6 linked regions of the Macaca mulatta genome follow. The protein of the gene in region 5 purifies or fractionates together with the protein of the main gene of each other region. This does not show direct contact. Links are inferred from orthologs where the notes say so. Each region holds a gene or a part of one and is shown on either strand. Other genes may lie near its edges.

The links.
Region 1: the proteins of SS18 (region 5) and SMARCD1 purify together in Homo sapiens (affinity purification with mass spectrometry; 5 studies listed by BioGRID and IntAct, counting the BioPlex papers as one, with this or other methods). This does not show direct contact. The link is inferred for Macaca mulatta from reciprocal best matches to the Homo sapiens genes SS18 and SMARCD1.
Region 2: the proteins of SS18 (region 5) and BCL7C purify together in Homo sapiens (affinity purification with mass spectrometry; 3 studies listed by BioGRID and IntAct, counting the BioPlex papers as one, with this or other methods). This does not show direct contact. The link is inferred for Macaca mulatta from reciprocal best matches to the Homo sapiens genes SS18 and BCL7C.
Region 3: the proteins of SS18 (region 5) and BICRA purify together in Homo sapiens (affinity purification with mass spectrometry; 3 studies listed by BioGRID and IntAct, counting the BioPlex papers as one, with this or other methods). This does not show direct contact. The link is inferred for Macaca mulatta from reciprocal best matches to the Homo sapiens genes SS18 and BICRA.
Region 4: the proteins of SS18 (region 5) and SMARCD2 purify together in Homo sapiens (affinity purification with mass spectrometry; 4 studies listed by BioGRID and IntAct, counting the BioPlex papers as one, with this or other methods). This does not show direct contact. The link is inferred for Macaca mulatta from reciprocal best matches to the Homo sapiens genes SS18 and SMARCD2.
Region 6: the proteins of SS18 (region 5) and SMARCA2 purify together in Homo sapiens (affinity purification with mass spectrometry; 6 studies listed by BioGRID and IntAct, counting the BioPlex papers as one, with this or other methods). This does not show direct contact. The link is inferred for Macaca mulatta from reciprocal best matches to the Homo sapiens genes SS18 and SMARCA2.

Annotation. Positions count from the first base shown.
Region 1 is NC_133416.1:57,257,564-57,261,693, forward strand, and holds the start of SMARCD1 (SWI/SNF-related matrix-associated actin-dependent regulator of chromatin subfamily D member 1), read left to right. Parts: upstream 1-1,330; 5' UTR 1,331-1,487; coding exon 1,488-1,664; intron 1,665-2,285; coding exon 2,286-2,473; intron 2,474-2,761; coding exon 2,762-2,804; intron 2,805-2,893; coding exon 2,894-3,016; intron 3,017-3,500; coding exon 3,501-3,623; intron 3,624-4,130. UniProt on the Homo sapiens protein: Involved in transcriptional activation and repression of select genes by chromatin remodeling (alteration of DNA-nucleosome topology).
Region 2 is NC_133425.1:29,522,544-29,526,567, forward strand, and holds the start of BCL7C (B-cell CLL/lymphoma 7 protein family member C), read right to left. Parts: upstream 2,801-4,024; 5' UTR 2,697-2,800; coding exon 2,605-2,696; intron 2,055-2,604; coding exon 1,976-2,054; intron 1,711-1,975; coding exon 1,602-1,710; intron 1,510-1,601; coding exon 1,348-1,509; intron 761-1,347; exon of another isoform or gene 164-760; intron 1-163. UniProt on the Homo sapiens protein: May play an anti-apoptotic role.
Region 3 is NC_133424.1:60,201,307-60,203,533, forward strand, and holds part of BICRA (BRD4-interacting chromatin-remodeling complex-associated protein), read left to right. Parts: intron 1-2,006; coding exon 2,007-2,227. UniProt on the Homo sapiens protein: Component of SWI/SNF chromatin remodeling subcomplex GBAF that carries out key enzymatic activities, changing chromatin structure by altering DNA-histone contacts within a nucleosome in an ATP-dependent manner.
Region 4 is NC_133421.1:73,636,762-73,640,783, reverse strand, and holds the start of SMARCD2 (SWI/SNF-related matrix-associated actin-dependent regulator of chromatin subfamily D member 2), read left to right. Parts: upstream 1-1,222; 5' UTR 1,223-1,611; coding exon 1,612-1,905; intron 1,906-4,022. UniProt on the Homo sapiens protein: Involved in transcriptional activation and repression of select genes by chromatin remodeling (alteration of DNA-nucleosome topology).
Region 5 is NC_133423.1:66,374,457-66,377,956, reverse strand, and holds part of SS18 (protein SSXT), read right to left. Parts: intron 2,900-3,500; coding exon of another isoform or gene 2,807-2,899; intron 2,104-2,806; coding exon 1,981-2,103; intron 1-1,980. UniProt on the Homo sapiens protein: Appears to function synergistically with RBM14 as a transcriptional coactivator. Isoform 1 and isoform 2 function in nuclear receptor coactivation. Isoform 1 and isoform 2 function in general transcriptional coactivation.
Region 6 is NC_133420.1:97,273,487-97,276,472, reverse strand, and holds the end of SMARCA2 (SWI/SNF-related matrix-associated actin-dependent regulator of chromatin subfamily A member 2), read left to right. Parts: intron 1-146; coding exon 147-289; intron 290-1,608; coding exon 1,609-1,644; 3' UTR 1,645-2,486; downstream 2,487-2,986. UniProt on the Homo sapiens protein: ATPase involved in transcriptional activation and repression of select genes by chromatin remodeling (alteration of DNA-nucleosome topology).

The sequences.
Region 1 (4,130 bases), on a different chromosome or scaffold from region 5:
GGGAACAGCAGGCAGGGCTTTGGGTGACGCATGCCTCTGGTCTAATAAACTGGGTTTCAACCATCTCCTCTTCAGTGTTGTTCACTTATTTGAAAACATATTTAGGTATTCTCACTAAGTGCCTAGAGCTGAGCTTGGTTTTGGGGCCAAACAATTAGGGGATGAGTAAGGAGAAGGTTTGAGTAGGGAGACTGTGGTCCTCCTGGGATGGGACGGCTGACCATCGTATCAGGAATAGTTTGAACCACTGGGCAGGGAAAGAGGGAGGAGTCAAAGGCAACAAAGGTCCAAAACAGAATCCCCATCACAAACAATGCTTTAGAGAGAGAGCAGAGTCAAAATTCAAGATAAACTGGAACTTATTATAAAATCTGAAAGCAGGCTGGCACGGTGGCTCACGCCTGTAATCCCAACACTTTGGGAGGCTGAGACGGGCGGATCACTTGAGGCCAGGAGTTCGAGACCAGCCTACGCAACATAATGAAACCCCCATCCCTATTTTTTAATATTAAAAAAAAATCTGAGGCCAGGCACAATGGCTCACACCTGTAATCCCAGCATTTTGGGAGGCTGAGGCGCGCAGACCACTTGAGCTTAGGAGTTTGAAACCAACATGGGCAACATGGTGAAACCCTGTCTCTACCAAAAATACAAAACAGCCTGGCATGGTGGTGCATGCCTGTGATCCCAGCTACTCGGGAGGCTGAGGTGGGAGGATCACTTGAGCCTGGGAGGCGGAGGTTGCAGTGAGCTGAGATGGTGCCACTGTGACAAAGAGAGACCTCATGTCGAAAAAATAATAATAATAATAATCCGGAAGCAGGTTAGGTCGGAGACAAAGTTAGGTTGAAGTTCCCACGTGAGGTAGTTATTGAGGCACTTTATCTGTGGAATGAGTCCTGGGCTATGAGCAAGAAGACCTGGAATCTTGGCTTCGGCTTTATGACTAACTTGCTGGTTGACCTTTGCCAAGTCGTTCACCTGTGAGTTCAGCTTTCCTATTTGGAAAATGGAATAAACTGTGTTTCCCTCCTCAGCCCCTGATAGTTATAGCAGTAAGAAAATGAAACGAAAAGCAATCAAAGCGTTTTGGGAAGTTAATGCCATGCGCCAAGATGAAGCTATTACTCCAAGCACCTCATCATCAGCGGGCTGGAGTCGGGGTTGAGACTGGGGCTGAGGCTGTGGTCCGTCCCCCTTTCCAGGTCCTTGTCTACCTCCCGTCGGCCTGGGGGCGCCCGCTCACGGGGCCTCTCTATCCCAGAGTTCTTCTCTATGGTTTTCCCTCCAGGACCGTGAAGGCGGGAGGGCGTGGCCAGCACGCCTTTTCCGCTACTCGCTCCTCTCTAGGCGACAGTCTCGCTGCCCTGAGCCTCCCGTGCCGGCCAGCCGGCCGGGGGAACAGGCGGGCGCTCGGGGGGCGCTCAGGGGGCGGGGGGAGTTCCGGTTCCGGTTCTTTGTGCAGCTGCATCGGCGGCTCCGGGAAGATGGCGGCCCGGGCGGGTTTCCAGTCTGTGGCTCCGAGCGGCGGCGCCGGAGCCTCGGGAGGGGCGGGCGCGGCTGCTGCCCTGGGCCCGGGCGGAACTCCGGGGCCTCCCGTGCGAATGGGCCCGGCTCCGGGTCAAGGGCTGTACCGCTCCCCGATGCCCGGAGCGGCCTATCCGGTGAGTGGGGCAGGAGGAGGGACGCGCGGGCCGGGGGCGGGGCCGAGCGGGGACGTGGGAGTGACAGGGGTGGGGGGAGAAGTAGGAGGGACTCCCTTGGGAGGGGTTCGGGCTCTGGGTGGGGGTTGGGGGAGGCAGTGCGCAGGAAGAGAGGGGGAGGCAGTTGGCGTCCACACCTGCTCCTAGGGGCATTGTTTCCGTGGGGAGTCGGTAGAGAACCAGGGTGGGTGAAGTGGGTCCAGGGATACCTGTACGAGGGCCGGAGTGCAGAGGGGCTTGAGCAGCTCCATTGATCAAAGGAACACAGAACGTGTAGTTGACAAATTGAGGTCAGCTTCTAAAGAGATAGTAGCTAGCAGAGTAAATGTGGAACTGGCGATGTCCGATGTGTCCGATCCAAAATAGACCGATAATTTGAGTATAATCTGGCTCTCGCTTAGCTTTTGGACTCTTTATTTTTCTGTGGAGTCACTGCTGGAGCAGAGGGTTCTCGTCTCATTGTCCTCCATTCCATCCGTAAACCTTACTTCATTCAAAGAACTCAGGCGTTCCCTGCTTTTCTTTCTTGGTGGGGTTTAGCAGGTGAAACCATGACATCTCTGGGTCCTCTCCCCTCTGTAGAGACCAGGTATGTTGCCAGGCAGCCGAATGACACCTCAGGGACCTTCCATGGGACCCCCTGGCTATGGGGGGAACCCTTCAGTCCGACCTGGCCTGGCCCAGTCAGGGATGGATCAGTCCCGCAAGAGACCTGCCCCTCAGCAGATCCAGCAGGTCCAGCAGCAGGCTGTCCAAAATCGAAACCACAAGTAAGATGATCCTGGGGCAGAGGGAGGGAGGGAGGGAGCCTGGGAGTACACAGGTGGTGGGATTACCTGAACCAAGAAGTGGTGGTGCTGTGTCAGCAGATGGTGCTACAGGATGATTGAGAATGCTTGGTGGTGGTGGTGGTGGTGGTGGTGGTGGTGGTGGTAGTTCTTTGATTTGAGAGAAGCTTTGCAATCCCTTCACATTACTATAAATGGACATGCTGACAGCTTATTTTCACGTTCTGACTAGTTCTGTCCCAACCTGATAATAGTGTTTATTCCCAACAGTGCAAAGAAAAAGAAGATGGCTGACAAAATTCTACCTCAAAGGGTGAGTCCAGGCTGTTTTCTGGAAAGTGTGGTAGGTTTGAGTATAGAGATGAATCATCCTAGATTTCAATTAATTTTTCTGTTCCTAAGATTCGTGAACTGGTACCAGAATCCCAGGCCTATATGGATCTCTTGGCTTTTGAAAGGAAACTGGACCAGACTATCATGAGGAAACGACTAGATATCCAAGAGGCCTTGAAACGTCCCATCAAGGTAACACAGGAAGTTACTAAGCAGAGAGCCAAAGGAGAGGACCCAGGAACCTTCAGCAGGCTTAGGATGAGAAATCAAAGGCACAGCACAACTCTCCTTGGCATTTAAATTGTATCTTTCCCTTCCGCCTACAAACTGAGAATTACATTAGGAGGATAAGAACAGAATGGCAAAGGGGGAGGGGCTCTTGATGTCTCTTGCACTACAAATATACCCTTGTCCATGTTTTTGCTGTAACTGCTCTGCTACCTTGGGAACCTGGCACCTTGCATGACTTTGTCCACCTGGCATCCCACTGTATGCACTTGTACTTAGGCTGATGGCCAGTACTCCTCTTCTAAATGGAATCTTCATCCACCCACCCAAGGGACTGGGTAGACAGTAAGCCAGTCTGTTAGGAATAATTTTGGGGTTTGGGGAGACTCTTGTCTTCAACATTAGACCACTGAAGCCCCACGATCAATCCTGTTTCTGCCTTCCTCAGCAAAAACGGAAGCTGCGAATTTTCATTTCTAACACTTTCAATCCGGCTAAGTCAGATGCCGAGGATGGGGAAGGGACGGTGGCTTCCTGGGAGCTTCGGGTAGAAGGACGGCTCCTGGAGGATGTGAGTTCAAGGTCCACAGTGGTTGGCATCTAGGGTGGGAGCTGCTGGGAATGAACAGTGTTGTCTGGTCAGCAGGAAGCCTAACTGGTGCTCACAGCTCCTTTTGGGAGCAGTAGGGAGAGGGACACTGTTCCCTGCACTGAAAGACAATGGTCCTTTGTGTTTGCCCCCACACCTTTGGCCTTCACTGGTATCATATGGAGAACCTTATTGTCCTGGGATCTGATTTGTGATTTACCTTCCTCTTGGTGCTGCTGGCCATTGGATTTAGCCGTATCTGTAGATTATTTAGTTTTTGTTTTGTTTTGTTTTTAGTCGAGTTTGCACTTAATTTGAGGCCGTGTTTCCTCTCTGAGTTCTTGTGGTATCTCCATCTTCTCAACTTTCATTGGAGGCACCCCATAGTTTTAAGTAGGATAGATTTCTCTTGACAGGCTCTTTGTTGCTTCCTGGGGAGCATCAGCTGACAGGTGATAGCCCCCAAACTTCCCAACCCAGAAGCTCCTC
Region 2 (4,024 bases), on a different chromosome or scaffold from region 5:
CTGTAGTCCCAGCACTTTGGGAGGCCGAGGTGGGCGGACCACCTGAAGTCAGGAGTTCGAGGCTGGCAAAACATGGCGAAACCCCATCTCTATTAAAAATATAAAACTAGCCGAGCATGGTGGTTCATGCCTATATTCCCAGCTACCCAGGAGGCTGAGGCAGGAGAACTGCCTGAACCTGGGAGGTGAAGGTTGCAGTGAGCCAAAATTGTGCCATTGCACTCTAGCCTGGGCAAGAGTGAAACTCAAAGGAAAAAAAGAAAAGAAAAGAAAAAAACCCAACCATGTAAAGTGTTTACCAGGGCGCCTGGCACACAGTAAGAGCTCAATAAATACTGTTGTTATTCCTGTTATTATTAATCACCCCTATGACTATCACTATTATTTATTCACTCAACAGATATTTACTGAGCACCTACTCTGTGTCCCATATTATTCTGAGAATACAGTAGTGAACAAGATCACATAGGGCCAAGCACAGTGACTTACGCCTATAATCCCAGCACCGTGGGAGGCTGAGACAGAAGGATCATTTCAGGCCAGGAGTTCGAAACCAACCTTGGCAACATAGCGAGACCCTAACTCTACAAAAAATTTAAAAGTTAGCTGGGTGTGGTGGCACACACCTGTAGTCCCCAGCTACTTGGGAGGCTGGGGCCAGAGGATCCCTTGAGCCCAGGAGTTTGAGGCTGCAGTGAGCTATGATTGCACCAGTGCACTCCAGCCTGGGTGACAGAGAACTTCTCTCTAAAAAAATAAAGGGGGGGGCGGGTATGGGTGTGATGGCTCACACCTGTAATCCCAGCACTTTGGGAGGCTGAAGATGGAGGATCGCTTGAGTGAGTGAGTTTGAGACCAGCCTGGGCAACATGGTGAAACCTTGCCTCTACAAAAAATACAAATGGCATATGCCTGTGGTCCAAGCTACTTGGGAGGCTGAGGCGGGAGGATCGCTTGAGCCCAGGAAGTTCAAGGCTGCAGTGAGCTATGATCACACCACTGCACCACTCCAGCCTAGGTGACACAGTGAGACCCTGTCTCAAAAAAAAAAAAAAAAAAAAAAAAAGGATTAATATGGGCCCAACATTCAGGAAACTGACATGAGAGTGAGGAGAAAGATAGTAAAAAATTAATTTACATGAAAGTCTCAGACAGTGATATGTCATCTATAGATCCTAAGAGACCAGAGGAATGAGACAGCAACTACAGAGACATTCTGCAGGAGTCGGAAGGCACCTTGAGGAAGGTGCACAAGATGGGGAGCAGGTATAGGGATAAGCTGGTAGGTTAGACTCTGGAGAAGACAGGACTTAGAGGAGAGGGCTCCTGGGAGGTACCTGGTCCTACCTCTCTCTTGGCCCAGCCGTGGGGGCTGAGCCTCCTCAGGGACCCCTTCTGGGGGTCCGGCAGGTGACACAGGGCGGCTGGGCTGGGGGGTGCCCCCAGGACTGGGCTCTGTGCCCTTTTGCAGGGAACCTTCCGAATGGAAACTCTGGTTGCTGTTCTCATCTGTGGGAGCAAGAGCCGAGATGGTTGGCCTGAGATCCCTAATACACTCCTTCAGTCCCCACAGCCCTCCGCATTTCAGGATCCCTACCTACCATTGAGATCCAGCAGGATGAGAGGGCCACCCCCTCGGGGACTGGCGCCCCTGCCCCGACGTTCCCGGCCACGGGATCTCTCTGCCCCGCCACCTGCCCGCCTTCGCTCCTGGGGGTTAGAGGATTAGGGTCAGAGCTCTTGGAAAGCCCCACCATACACCTAAGGAAACTGAGGCACTGAGAAGCAAAAGGGCTCGAACTCAGGGTGTGGAACAGAAAAGAGGGAAAAAGGGGAGGAGCTGCTAATGATGGTTCCCATCTGTCTGTCCTGCTGCATCTGAGGTCTCTGGGAGCTGGAGGTAGAGGTCAGGGTGGGGAGGAGCTTGCCTGAGGTTGCACAGATGCAGGGCCTTGTGGGAATGGGGGTTGCTCACCTCCTCCTGGGGGTCCACCACTGGCACCCACTTGAAGATACGAAGGGAAGTGTCGCCCACAGTCACCCATCGCTTCTCCCTGTGGGAGGGTGGGGGACTGGGTCAGAGAGGCCTGAGGGGAGACCCACCCCCCCAGGAGCCGGACACATCTGGGGGTACCTGCAGAGGTTGGGGAGGCACAGGAGGGTAGCAACAGTTTTGCTAATGGGGCATAGTTACATGGAGAAAGAGAGCCCTGCAAACCCCAGGGCACAGGCGGTGGGTGCCTCTAGACAGAGGATATGATTTGGGCCCTGGCTCTGCGGACCCCTGGGGCACACACGGGGGGCGTGGCTATGGGCCTGGCCCGGGATCAGAGACCTGCAGATCTCGGGGCGCACTTGCAGAAGGAGTGTCAAAGCTTTAGGGGGCGGGGCACAAACGGGGGCTCCCACTCTGGGAGAGCACGACTGGGGACCACGCTTTGTAGACCCCCAGGAGTAGCCAGGGGAACGGGGACAGATCCAGGGCAAAGCTAGTGGGCGGGGATACAGCGAACACCGGGGCCCAGAGCTGGCGAGGGCAGCTTAGACGCCTTAGGTGGTGGTGGTCCCGCCGTGTCCCGTCCCTGGCCCCCGGGCAGCGCTCACCATCTCCGGACCTTCTCGATGGTCGCCATCACCTTCTTGATGTCATCCTTGGCCCGGCTCCGGGTCTCGGCCCGTACGGTCCGGCCGGCCATGCTGGCGGGGCTGGGGCCGGAGCCGAGCCCGCGGCGGGGCCGCCTCCCGTCCGGCGGGCTCAGGCTCGGCGCCAGGCCCGGGCGCCGCGCTCTCGGCCTGCCGTCCCCCCGGGAGTTGGCCGCGCCCTCTCTCGTCCCCAACGCCTCCGCGAGTCCCCGCCCCGTTTCCTGCCGCCGTGCCCCGCCCCGGCCCGTCCCCGGAGCGGCCCGGTGGCGCGGGCGGCCAGAGCCCAGGCCTGGAAGCCCGGCCGGCCCCGCCCCGACCCGGGCCCGCCCCCTCGGAGCGCCTGGACGCGCAGCGCCCCCTGCCCGCCGTCGAGAGCGGGAGTTGGGTACTGCTCGGCTGCCGGACGCGCGAGGCAGGGCCGAGGCGGTGCGTTCAGACCACGTGGGCGCGGGGTGCTCGAGAGGGTCTGTGTCCTGGGGTGCGTGCGCCGCGGTGGGTGTCCGCGAAACGCTGTGTGTGGAGTGCGTGCGTGTGTCCGCCCTCGCCAGGCTCTCGGTCTACACCGCCCAACACTCATTCATCCATTCATTCAACAGTCCTGTTAACTGAGCGCCAATTACGCGCCAGGCGCTGCGAATACGAGTAGGTCTCTACCCACCAGAATGGCTAAAGTGAAAAAGACCGCACCATGTGGAGGCGAGAAAGTAGAGCGACTGAACCTCTCTTGTATTTCTGGGGGAGTGTAAATTGGTAGAGACGTTTTGAGAACTGGCAGTTTTCTAGTGAAGCCGAACATATGCCACCTCTGTGATCCAGCAATTCCACTCCTAGGCTGTCAACACCCAGCAGAAATGTGTAGGTGTGAGCACCAAGAGGGTGCTTGGGAACGTTCAGAGCCCTTTCATAACAGCCCCAAACTGGAAATAACCCATCAACAGAATGGAAAATGAATGATGCCCTACTCATTACCATGCACATAGACACAGCAACGGGAGTGACATGCCCGGCTACACCCAGCAACATAGACAAGTCGCATGACGAAATCTTGAGTGACAGAAGCCAAATACAACAGTACATACTAGATGGTTCCAGGTGTATTACGTTCAGAACCAGACAAAACTAATTTAAAGTGCACCAAAGTCAAGATAGTGGTCGCCCTTAGGATTGGGAGGGGATGAGGGGAGAGCTTCTGGGAGCTGATCCAGTTCTGTTGTGTGATCCGGTGCTGGTTCCCTGGGCATATGTACTCTGTGAAAATCCATCACATGACTTAAATAAAATGTGCATTACTTAAAGAAAGTGAGTGTGTCTTGGTTGACTTTATTTGAGGCTGGCTTGTCAGCAGATAAGACCATGTCAAAATTTGTGCTGCTGTGTGTGT
Region 3 (2,227 bases), on a different chromosome or scaffold from region 5:
CCTTCCTACTGCGGCTGGGCCTCCCTTGACCTGCCGCCTCCCAGACCAGAGAGCCCACATCCATCTTCCTCCATCCCTGTGTGTCCCTTTCACGAACCCCGACACCCTAGGATGGGGGGAATATTCTGCTACCCCCATGGGACAGAAAATGGGAGAGCAGGCTCCTAGGTTGCAAAGTATATGAGATAGCGCCCACTCTTGGGTGCCAGTCCTTTGGGGACTCTGAGAGTGAGTGCCTCCTTAAGTGTTGCACCTTAGGCGGCTCGCTGGCCTCACTCTAGTCTCCTGTCTGCAGGAAACGGTACAGGCAGTTCCCAGCTGCCAGAGTTTTTAGAATATTCCCTTAGCCCTCACCTGCATTCCAACTCCAGAGCTTCCATTAAAAAAACATGGTCCCTGCTTTCTGCTGCCAGGCCCAGGCTTTTCACCTCGAGCTCTGGACCTGAATTTTGAAAAAGTAGTCATTGGTACTTAAATGGGTGCAAAGGGGGGGCCATAGTGAAGGAGGGGCCGGGAGCGAGTCTGAAGTCTCTAGGGTAGGAGAGGAAGGATAGTTCGGTGGTTAGGGGCTCGATGCTGGATTCTTGGTTCAAATCCTGGCTCTGCCACTTACTGACTGTGTGACCTTGGGCAAGTTACTTACCTTCTCTGTGTCTCCGTGTTCTCATTTTGTAAAGTGGGGGTTTTGATGATCAGTTTACAGTCCTTTATCTGACACCATTGGGGCCCGATATGTTCTGGAATCCTTGCTTTTAGAAAGGCGATGAGCTACCTAGATGCTGTCTTCTGGTTTACCCCCAGTGGGTTTGGGGAGGCACTCTATGATCAAACACACTTCTGGAGTGACATCGATGGGTATCCAGAGTAGTTGGGATAAATCAAGACCATAAATAACCTCATGTAGCCGGGTGTGGTGGCTCACACCTGTAATCCCAGCACTTTGGGAGGCTGAGGCTGGCGAATCACCTGAGGTCAGGAATGCGAGACCAGCCTGGGTAATGTGGTGAAACCCTGTCTCTACTAAAAATACAAAAATTAGCTGGGCATGGTGTCTGGCACCTATAATCCCAGCTACTTGGGAGGCTGAGGCAGGAGAATCACTTGAACCCAGGAGGCAGAGGTTGCAGTGAGCTGCGATCACGCCACTGCACTCCAGCCTGGGCAACAGAATGAGACTCTGTCTCAAAAACAACAACAATAACAACAACAAAAACACCTCATGTCATTTCAGACCAGATTTTGAAATTAGATACTTCTTTTTTTTTTTTTTGAGATGGAGTCTCGCTCTGTCCCGCAGGCTGGAGTGAGTGGCGCGATCTTGGCTCACTGCAAGCTCCGCCTCCTGGGATCATGCCATTCTCCTGCCTCAGCCTCCCGAGAAGCTGGGACTACAGGCACCCGCCACCGCGCCCGGCTAATTTTTTTTGTATTTTTAGTAGAGACGAGGTTTCACTGTGGTCTCGATCTCCTGACCTTGTGATCCGCCTGCCTCGGCCTCCCAAAGTGCTGGGATTAGAGGCGTGAGCCACCGCGCCCGGCTGAAATTAGATACTTCTTAACCCCATTTTTAAAAAGTTATGTATATAATTAGAGCAATGCTGTCCAATAGAACTTTTATATTTTATTTATTTATTTGTTTGTAGAGACAGGGGTCTCACTACTGTGCCCAGGAAGGTCTCAAACTCCTGGGCTCAAGCGATCCCCCTGCATTGGCCTCCCAAATGCTGGGATTACAGGCATGAGCCTTGTTTTATAGTCTCTTAATTCAGTTAAGTCTGAATGAGCCCCACGTGGCTCGTGGCTGCTGTGCCAGACACAGTGGTTTGGAGTTGGGGGAATTTGGGCCTTGCTGAAGAGGGTCTCACCCAGCCTGTCCTGAGGATTGGAGGGTCCAGGGTGCGGTCTGGTGCCTGGCAGGGGGTAGGTGCTTTGCACACAGCTCCTCCCAGCTCGGTCGCGGGGGCCTCAACCTAACCCCGTGGGTTTTCTTTGCCCCGATTCTGCAGACGAGTACGTGTCTTCCTCCCGCTCGCTCGGCCTCCCCGTTGCAGCCTCTTCTGAGGGTCATCGGCTCCCCGGCCACGGCCCCCCGTCGTCTTCAGCTCCCGGGGCCTCCGCCCAGCCCCCTCCACACCTGCCCACCAAGCTTGTGATCCGGCATGGCGGGGCAGGCGGCTCCCCTTCGGTCACCTGGGCCCGGGCGTCCTCCTCCCTGTCCTCCTCCTCC
Region 4 (4,022 bases), on a different chromosome or scaffold from region 5:
GAAAACTATAAAAAATATCTGGGGTGCTATGATGCAAGAAAGGAAGCATTACTTGGTGGGGGCTGAAAAATAAACCAATTATAGTAAAGAAAAAAAAAAAAAAGTCTAGATCCTGGCTTCTTGACAGTATGGTCTAAGAAGCAACAGCATCGCTGGCAGCTTGTTAGAAATGTAGAGTCCTGGGCCCTGCCACAATCTGCATTTTTAATAAGAGCCTCGGGTGTTTTTTATGTGCTCATTAGGGTTTAAGCAGCACTGGGCCGTATCACGGTGAGGAGACCCAGACCATCAAAGGGACAGCTGAAGCATTTTTGAATACTTTGATACAGCACAGTGTATCTGAAAAGATACTGCATTTTTGAAAATTAAGTGCTATAAATACTAGAGAAAGACCTCTTTTTAAACTGCGGGGAGGTTTCTCATAAGCCAAATTTCTTTTGACTAGAAGCATTTGCTGGGGAGTAAAGTACCAGGCTTCCTTATAGTGAGGCAGAGCCACGTTAAAAATGTGCTGTAAGAGCTCAGCCTTGGCCAAGTCGACCATTCACCAGCTGGGTCAAGTCTGGAGCCTCCTAGGTCCCTTGGCAGTTCCGAGCTACCAGGATGAGCTTTTACAGGAAGTTGAGTTGGCTGCTGTTCTGCCCCAGAGAGCAGCTGAGTCTTTTTTCTTTTTTTGAGGAGTTTCACTCTTGCCGCCCAGGTTGGAGTGGAGTGGAGAGATCTCGGCTCATTGCAACCTCTGTCTCCCGGGTTCAAGCGATTCTCCTGCCTCAGCCTCCCGAGTAGCTGGGATTACAGGCGCCAGCCACCACTCTCGGCTAATTTTTGTATTTTTAGTAGAGACGGGGTTTTCACCATGTTGGCCAGGCTGGTCTCGAACTTCTGACCTCAGGTGGTCCACCCGCCTCAACCTCCCAAAGTGCTGGGATTACAGGCGTGAGCCACCGCTACCGACTCTGAGTTGGGTCTTTAATGTGGAAGATGCAGAAAGGAGACTTGACAAAACTATTTTCGGTGAGGCTGCTACACCGGGAAAGAGTAGTAGCAACTGCTCATTCACTGTGAAGCCTCAACGTGACCTTAGACCTCTGACCCCGCGCCTCACTCGGCGCTTCCGCGCGCAGCTTCCGCTCCCGCCCCTCCGATGAAGGGCGGGGCCAAAGGTGGGGGGTGGGACTCTGAGGTCGGCGGTTAGGGGCGGTGCCTGCTGGGGGCGGGTCTCGCGAGGGGCGGGATTCAAGGAGGCACTCGAGCATTGGGCACCAGGTAGAGGCGGGGCCTAGTGCTGGGCTGGGTTGGGCGGGGCAGGGAGTTCGTAGCCGCCTCTGGGTAACTCGACTCGGGCGGCCAAACCTCCGGAGTCCGGGGGCGGCAGGCGGGCCCACAGCAGATCCTGGATCCGGAATCTCCGGCGCAGGAGCGGAATCTGTCCCGAACCGGGTCTGTGAGGAACTCGCGAACTTGGATTAGGAAATCCCGGAGCCCGGATCGACAAATCCCGGAACCCGGAATTAAGATCGCCAAGTCCCGGATCGCGGAGTACAGAGCGCGGAGTGGACTCGACGCGTAGCCCGGAGTCCGGATCGCGGCACCGCGGGACGGGACGGAGCGATGTCGGGCCGAGGCGCGGGCGGGTTCCCGCTGCCCCCGCTAAGCCCTGGCGGCGGCGCCGTGGCCGCGGCCCTGGGAGCGCCTCCTCCCCCCGCCGGACCCGGCATGCTGCCCGGACCGGCGCTCCGGGGACCGGGTCCGGCTGGAGGCGTGGGGGGCCCCGGGGCCGCCGCCTTCCGCCCCATGGGCCCCGCGGGCCCCGCGGCGCAGTACCAGGTGAGTAGGGAGGACGCGAGCGGACGGGGGCGTGCGGCGCCGCGAGGGCGCCCGGGCCGGGGGCTGAGGGGGCCTCGAGTGAGGGCCTTGGGGAATGCATGAGGAACTTTGGGAGACGGTGGAGGGCGGGCCAGATCCCTCGGGCTGCGGCGGGTGGCGGTGGAGGAGTGGGGAAGGGGGAGCGAGTCCTGCAGCGGAGGGCTGGAACCAGCTGGGAGGCCTGGGGGCTTCCGCGGCACAGAGATTCCGAGTGACTGGGAGATGGAGGAGTTTGGGGAACCAGTGAATTGTGGGCGGGTGGGTTGAGAAGTCTAGGGTAGGAGGGCTAGAAAGTGATGAGAAAGTTTGGGAAAGGGCCCTCGCTGAGAAACCGGGGTTACCCTGCATCGGCCTTGGTCCCACTCCAAGTCTGCCCTGTTTTTTCTGGTTGCGAACTGGCCGAGCTCTAGCGTGTCTGAGATGGCTCCCGGCTGCTAATGAGGAGGAAGGAGCCTGGCTTCCCACGGGCACGGGACGCTGAGGCTAGGGCCAGGGGATTCATTCCAGCTTGTGCACGGGCGGACTTTACTCCAGAGGCAGGGCCAGGCGCCTTCGCTGGGGAGGACTCCAGCTTAGACCAGAGACGGTGGTGGCCAGGCTTGAGGGGAGGCCCAGCCTAGTCACAGGCCGGCTCTCTTCTGGGCTTTCTGCCTCCTGTCATCGTGTCGGGTAGTTGATTAGTCTGGACGTGCAGAGTGGAACCCTGCTGGTCTGGGGCCCGAGGAGTCTGCGAGAGTTGCTTCAAAGAGTGCTGTCCTGACCCCTTTGGGGTTTTGAGAGCTGCTCAGGTTTCAGCTTCAAAAGCCCTTGGAAGGCAGCGACTTCTGCTCAGTGTGTGAGAACCTCAGCCTGACCCTGCTGGTCCCCTAGTCTGCTGTTCAGGTTGCACCAGCAGGCTTGGAAACTGTGCCCATCTGCCTTATCATCCTCTCTGCATTTTTATTTGGCCTTCAGGTTCTAACTCCGCCACATCCGAAGCCATATGCCCCAGCATTTGACACTGGCTTCTCCCAGGGTCTGCTGTGGGCTTCCTCTGTTTTCGACTCCTGTCTCCAGGCGGAGGTCCTTAGGGATCCTCGTGGAGTATACACAGCCTACCTGCCCCACTGGGCCTCACATCTAAGGAGATGGCTTAACTAGGGACAGTGACTGGATTTTTTTCCCTTCTTCCTCCTCATTCTTCCTCCTTTCTCAAGAGAAAACAGAGTCTGGATATGGGCAGAGACAGACCTGGTCCCAGGGACTCCAGCTGGGGCTCATCTTTCCCACCCTACTCTCCCCCTTGGGGATTCATGGGCCCAGGGTGTTGCTGAGGGCTCCCTGCATCAGTCATTGTAGCCCTTGGGCCTGCCCACTGAGACCTGGCCTGGGCACCATCTGTGGGCCTTTGGCCTTGGAAGGACCTGGAACAGACAAGCCGCTCCAGTTTCCTTGGCATGCAAAAAGTCATAGGAAATGTGCCCTTGAGACAGCCCCTAAGAGAATGGATTCCACATGTTTGGTGGGGGGTGGCCTTGGGCTTGTGGCAAGGCCAAGCTGGCTGGCTGGTTAGGCCTGGGCTGCTAGCTGTGGGGAAGTAGGAGATGGCCCTGAGTCTGGGTTTCCCATCCCACTAGCTTTCCTCCTCCTGGCAGGAGAGGTAGATGGTACAGAGAACCCAGCCAGCTAACTTTGGCTGAGTTTGAAGAGGATCCTACTTGCTCTCTTTCCAAGTCCAGTTGTATGACTTCCAGGGGGGACTTGAGATCTGGGAAACAGAGGGGTTCCTGTCTGTTAGGGCTCATGAGATGTGCTGGAAAAGCGAGAATTTGAGGCCCAAGCTGAACAAATAGTTGAAAGAAGGGAAGTGATGACCTCCCTTCCTCCAGAGGGTGGTTCTGGCTGTGGATCACAGTTAACAGAGGAACCTAAAACAAAAACAACAACAAAAAACCCTCCAGGGCAGGATGTGGTGGCTCACACCTATAATCCTAGCACTTTGGGAGGCCCAGACAGAAGGATTACTTGAGATCAGGAGTTCAAGACCAGCCTAGGCAACATAGTGAGACCATAATTTCTCAAAAAAAAAAACCCAAAAAAATTTAGCCAAACTTGGTGGTGTGCGCTTATGGTCCCAGCTAGTCGGGATGCTGTGGCAGGAGGATTGCCTGAGTCCA
Region 5 (3,500 bases):
ACATGTGAAAAAACTTGATTCAAAAGTTACACTGAGAATTAATCACCTTTACTACTTTATCCATAAAAATGATTACAAATTCCAGAGATGGCAAGGGACTGATTTGGTTTGCTAAACAATTATGTCTGTTTTATAAACTCTACTACTTTCCATTGTAAGGAATGCTTCAAAAAGCATAAGCTGGGCTGGATATAGTGGCTTACGCCTGTAATCCCAGCACTCTGGGAGGCTGAGGTGGGCGGATCACCTGAGGTCAGGAGTTTGAGACCAGGTTGACCAATATAATAAACCCCGTCTCTACTAAAAGTACAAAAATTAGCTGGGTGTGGTGGCACATGACTGTAATCCCAGCTACTCAGGAGGCTGACAGGAGAATCGCTTGAACCTGGGAAGCAGAGGTTGCAGTGAGCCAAGATCGCAACACTGCACTCCAGCCTATGCAACAAGAGTGCAATTCTGTCGGAAAAAAACAAAACAAAACAAAACAAACCATAAGCTGAAAAGCTTTGACACTTAAATGTTTTCTATCATAGCCATTCAAAACCTGCCATAAAAACACTGATTTCAGAGAAAAGTGTCAAAAGAGAACAAGTTTTCAAGCTTAAATAAATTATATCAATCTTTTATTAATTATATATTCACTTATTAAAACTTTATCTCTAGTGGAAATAAAGGTTTTTTTGACAATACAAGCCTATAGATAAACAAAACAGAAATTTCTCTTAGGATTCCTGATGTCTAACAAAATAGCATTTAACTATAACATACTTTAACAAAAATTAAGCTTTCTTTCACCCTCTCTTACCATTGAAGATATTTGGAAGGTATTTCTCTTAAGTCAACGAATTGACCTGATTTAGCTGTATTACATCTGTTTTCATGCAAATGCAATCAAACCAGAATACTGTATTTATTCAAAGTATAAATACTAAGTAGTCACAAAATGAAAAGACCGTTTGGGAAGGGCAAGAAAGTTCCTTTATGAAAGAAAAAAACCCATGGAATATTTCTAAAGTCACATCTAGAATTTGGAAATCAGAATTTAACATTTTTAGAAAAATACCTGACTCCCAATATCTGACTGAGTTTCAACATATACGCTGAGGGGGCAAGAGAATTTCAGTCTGACCTTATTTCTAAGATTTGCTATCACAGGTAGACAGAGATGTCCACAGCAATGGCAGAGCTTAAGTCAATGACTAAAAATAATAAGATATTACCTATGTGAAAAAAGAGACCCTGGTTAGGAAGAGGTGGATTCAGTATTCGTAAGCAGCTACTTTCCTTTAAAAAGAGTTATATCTAAAATGGTTATAGTAGCCTGAGAGTTAAGGCTGAAATATTAGGTCCTCATCATTCCCCACTCCCTAAGTTAGTCAGATATCCAGGTAGTAGGTATTGTAAGTGAGTATATAATAGGAAAATATTGCTACACTTCCCCCAAATTCTGTATGATACATAGCTGCAATAATACATCCCGATGGATATGTATATTGCTATTTAACTAGGGAATGTCAAAAACATTTTCATTATGCATTCTGAATAGATCTCATTTTTACTCAAAAAAAAAAAAATCAGTATATCTTTAAAAAAACTGTATTGGCCATTAGTTTTTAAAAATAAATTTGCTAAGCAGATTATATACATATGGTCAATAATTATCCAATCATCAGTTTTCCAAGCACACACAAGGCTAGGCATGACAAATAGGTCTGATAATTCATTTTTCATGTCTTTTAAATGACTCCACACCTTACCTTTAGTCAATGAACCATCTCCAATTTGTAGTTCTTTTTAAATGGATTACTAGCTTATCTAAGAGCAACATTTTAAACCAACATTTTAATAGTAGACTAGGCTAAAACTGAATTTTCAAGTGATAATTCTTGGAAAAATAAGTATTAAACATCCACTTCCATATTTTAAAACAATCAGCACCACATTGTTTTCGTGATAAAAATAAACTGTACAAAGCTTTACCGTAGCCCTGCTGCTGTCCTGGGTAACCTTGCTGCCCTGGGTACTGCTGCTGCTGGGGTGGATATCCCTGTTGTGGAGGTGGTCCCTGGTATGCATCTTGCTGTTGGCCATACTGTGAATTTCCTACAGGATAATTGGAGAAGAGGAAAAAAAACTGAGAAGTCTGCTTAAGTAACTTTTTTCCCTCTAAGATGCATAGCCAACAACACAAGAACAAAATGAAATGCCATATTGATTTTTAGAAGTTAACAAAACAAAGAAAAAACTCAAACCAAACAGAAGGATTTCGGCCAAACAAACTGCAGTTAAAGCCAATTTTGCAAGGTTGAACTGCAGCATTTTCAGCGTCTCTGCCATACGAGCATTACATTTACTGGAACATCACAGTCATAAGATCATGACTATGCTAAATAAAATAAAAAAGACAAAATTAAAGACAGCTACAAGAGCACACACTAGCTACACGAGATCAGCAAGCTGTTTCCTAAAGGCACTATACTTATATGTAAAATTATACATATGTAAACACACACGAGAAAAAAAAGTTGGATGGATTTATGTTCAAATAGAAAATTTCCACTGAGGAAAAAATTATCTTTAATGTTTTAGTCTTTTTATTAATGTTAGAAATGGCAAGTCATGGTTATACATTTTAAATATTTGTAAGGAAATTATTTTGATTGTTTTGGGCTCCCTGCACCTTTCAAGACAGCCAGCAACTAGTATTCTACAAGAGCTTTGCATGGGTAGAAGTTGTCTTATGCAAGAATTTTCATTCCTGTAGAAGGGGATATATATGTGTATGTGTGTGAAGGTATATAGATACCTCCTTCGTAGTAATGTTGTGAGGAATCCTCATAAGGCCTATCGTAGCCTTGTTCAGGATACGACGGTTGCTGATAACCGTAATCATTATGACCTACATCAATTCGACAAGAGACAGGAAGAAACGTTAATGGCCACTGAGTGAAAACCCTAAAAATATTTAAACTTTCAGATAAAATTGAAAAAAAAGGAAAAGAAATGGAACATAAAAAATAATTTCAATTGCATTAGCCAAAGATTTACCAATGTGATTGTTTTCATATTGAGATAACGTGCAATTTTTTTAAAAGCAAAAAGCAGTAGTTTTAGAAACATTACACTTATTGTCTTAAATCTGATAATCCTCATTGAGGGAAAAAAAAAAACTATCTCCCATTTTAAAAAAAGAGAATAAAAGTATCTAGGTCTTTCACATGTAAATAACCTAAATTAAAGTAGAATGAACAAAGGAAGTAATTATCATATTTTGTCAAACACCTGTTCTGCTGGTCTCCAATTCCACAGCATATGCTAAAAACAATGCAAAATATAAAAGAGCTCCATAAGTTTCTCCCCTGAAAGAAACTGAAAAATTTTCATGTTCTAACATTTACTTGCATAAACTTAAGTATCTCAAAGTATCTTCAGATGCAAAATTATATATCTTAATGCTGCCATTTTGGAAATCTTTAGAAAATATTTCAAGTATCATAAAC
Region 6 (2,986 bases), on a different chromosome or scaffold from region 5:
ACCACACAGAACAGGCATAATCCAGGAATGTTCTGGGCACTCCGGGATGTTTGTGTTGTCTGTAGGTTGGTGATAGTCTTATCACCTATACAGATACCTCCCTTGTGATTACTCATTGCTATCTATTTCATTTGCTTTGGTTTTAGCAAAATCAGTCAAGGTGAAAATTAAGCTCAATAAAAAAGATGAGAAAGGCCGGGACAAAGGAAAAGGCAAGAAAAGGCCAAATCGAGGAAAAGCCAAACCTGTAGTGAGCGATTTTGACAGCGATGAGGAGCAGGATGAACGTGTAAGTGTAGCTGACTGGGACTGAAGGCGGAGGCGCCCTCTCCACTGCTCGCTGGCCTCTTGCATTTCCATGCCCCTTCAGCCTTTTCACTTTATTACCTAGGAGTGGAAATGTCAGGATTTAGTGAGATTTCATTATTGAGGGATGTGAATGGAGCTGTATGATTTAGAACAAAGAATTGGGGGCTTTGTTTATTGCTTTTTTAATAGTCTTCAAAAATGAAAAACTACTAAATCAAACTCTTTTCCCCCTTTTTAATCTTCCCACATGCTTGCTTATAAATATGGTTTTCCCCATAGCCAGTTAATATTTTATATCCATCACACCCAGCATAGCGCCTAGGTACATAGCAGTAGATTAGATAGAAGAATAAGAAAAAGTGATATGACGTCAGAGTTACTGGCTCGAGTTGCTACTTAAGGGACCGTGTAAAAAGTCAAATGACTTTTTTAAGTACCTAGGGGTGTTATTTTTAATATTTGAAAAATGCAGTGAGCATCTATTGAGCCAGGCCTTGTAATATAGGTACCTCACTGTGTGGTAGCTTATTAAATACTGATGTCAGCATCATGAGATAGATGTCACTCTCAAAAAACATGTTACAGAAATGGTTAGGTTATGTGTGTTTTGCTACAGATCACGTAGCAGAGGTGGGATGCGGACCCAAGTAGAATAATTCAGTCTAGTGTGCTATGCCTGACTGGGCAGCAAGGTAGAAGAGTGGGCAGAAGCTCCTAATACCTTGCCTTTTGAAATACCCTTCATTTCATCCATGCACTTTCCAGAAGATGGCTTCCTGGCACCCACATTCTTTGCTTTCTGGAAAGATAAATTTCCCTTTTTGTGTATGTGCTAGTTTGATTTTCCTTCAACACATTACCATTTTGGTAAAATTTCAGACTTATGATCTCACCCCAGCCTTAACCCTTGATGCAAACATTTTCAAATACATTTAAAATACTGTATTTTCTTTAGGAGATATCAAATGCAGGGTATTTTTTTTCTCCCATGAATTTTCTAAAACCTAGGACTGAAAAAGAGAAAGTATTAGCCATAAACCTTTCAAGCCGAAGTGAAAGGGCACAAACACCAGCTTAGAGGGTGGGCTTTGCTTTGGGGTTTTCAGTAAGAAAAACTTCTCAGCTTCGAGGCTGTCGATGCCTCTTTAATGTGTTTCTGTCCTTCCACGGAAAGAGATTTGGCGGGTTGTTTCCAAAATGTCATTTTTTTCCTAATGGCCTCTTGATGGTTTGTTTTGTTTTATGTATTCTTTTTCTTGCATGTGATGTTACTTCATTTTATCTTATTTTTACTTGTAGGAACAGTCAGAAGGAAGTGGGACGGATGATGAGTGATCAATATGGACGTTTTTCCTTGGTAGAACTGAATTCCTTCCTCCCCTGTCTCATTTCTACCCAGTGAGTTCATTTTGTCATATAGGCACTGGGTTGTTTCTATATCATCATCGTCTATAAACTAGCTTTAGGATAGTGCCAGACAAACATATGATATCATGGTGTAAAAAAAAAAACACACATACACAAATATTTGTAACATATTGTGACCAAATGGGCCTCAAAGATTCAAAGATTGAAACAAACAAAAAAGCTTTTGATGGAAAATATGTGGGTGGATAGTATATTTCTATGGGTGGGTCTAATTTGGTAACGGTTTGATTGTGCCTGGTTTTATCACCTGTTCAGATGAGAAGATTTTTGTCTTTTGTAGCACTGATAACCAGGAGAAGCCATTAAAAGCCACTGGTTATTTTATTTTTCATCAGGCAATTTTCAAGGTTTTTATTTGTTCGGTATTGTTTTTTTACACTGTGGTACATATAAGCAACTTTAATAGGTGATAAATGTACAGTAGTTAGATTTCACCTGCATATACATTTTTCCATTTTATGCTCTATGATCTGAACAAAAGCTTTTTGAATTGTATAAGATTTATGTCTACTGTAAACATTGCTTAATTTTTTTGCTCTTGATTTTTAAAAAAGTTTTGTTGAAAGCGCTATTGAATATTGCAATCTATATAGTGTATTGGATGGCTTCTTTTGTCACCCTGATCTCCTATGTTACCAATGTGTATCGTCTCCTTCTCCCTAAAGTGTACTTAATCTTTGCTTTCTTTGCACAATGTCTTTGGTTGCAAGTCATAAGCCTGAGGCAAATAAAATTCCAGTAATTTCGAAGAATGTGGTGTTGGTGCTTTCCTAATAAAGAGATAATTTAGCTCGACAAATGCAGCCTGTTTCTTTGAATTCTAGAGGATTGACACCCTTGTGCCTGAAGTGGCAGTTTTCTGTAGAGGGTTGGGCAGGCTCTTGCTACAGAACACTTGATAGGGAAAAAGAGAGCTTGAGAGAGCCAGTCTCCTTGGTGTGGTCCAACTGTGTCACCAGGGGCACCTGTTGCACCTATGACTTTAAACTATTAAACAGCAGAAGAGATGCTGCCATGGGCCAAGCCATATGAAGTCCCTGCCCAGCCTTAAATTCTGTTTCTTAGTTGGAAAATCTATATTGCTATTTATGTCTTTTGATTTTGAAAGATTTCAGAAATATTCCATTGAAAGACTGGTTCAGTGAACACCTATATACCCTCCACCTGAGATTCAACAATAATATTTCATCCTTACCCTGTTTTAATAAACCATCGGAAAATAAGTTGCCGTCATTATGATACTTTGCAC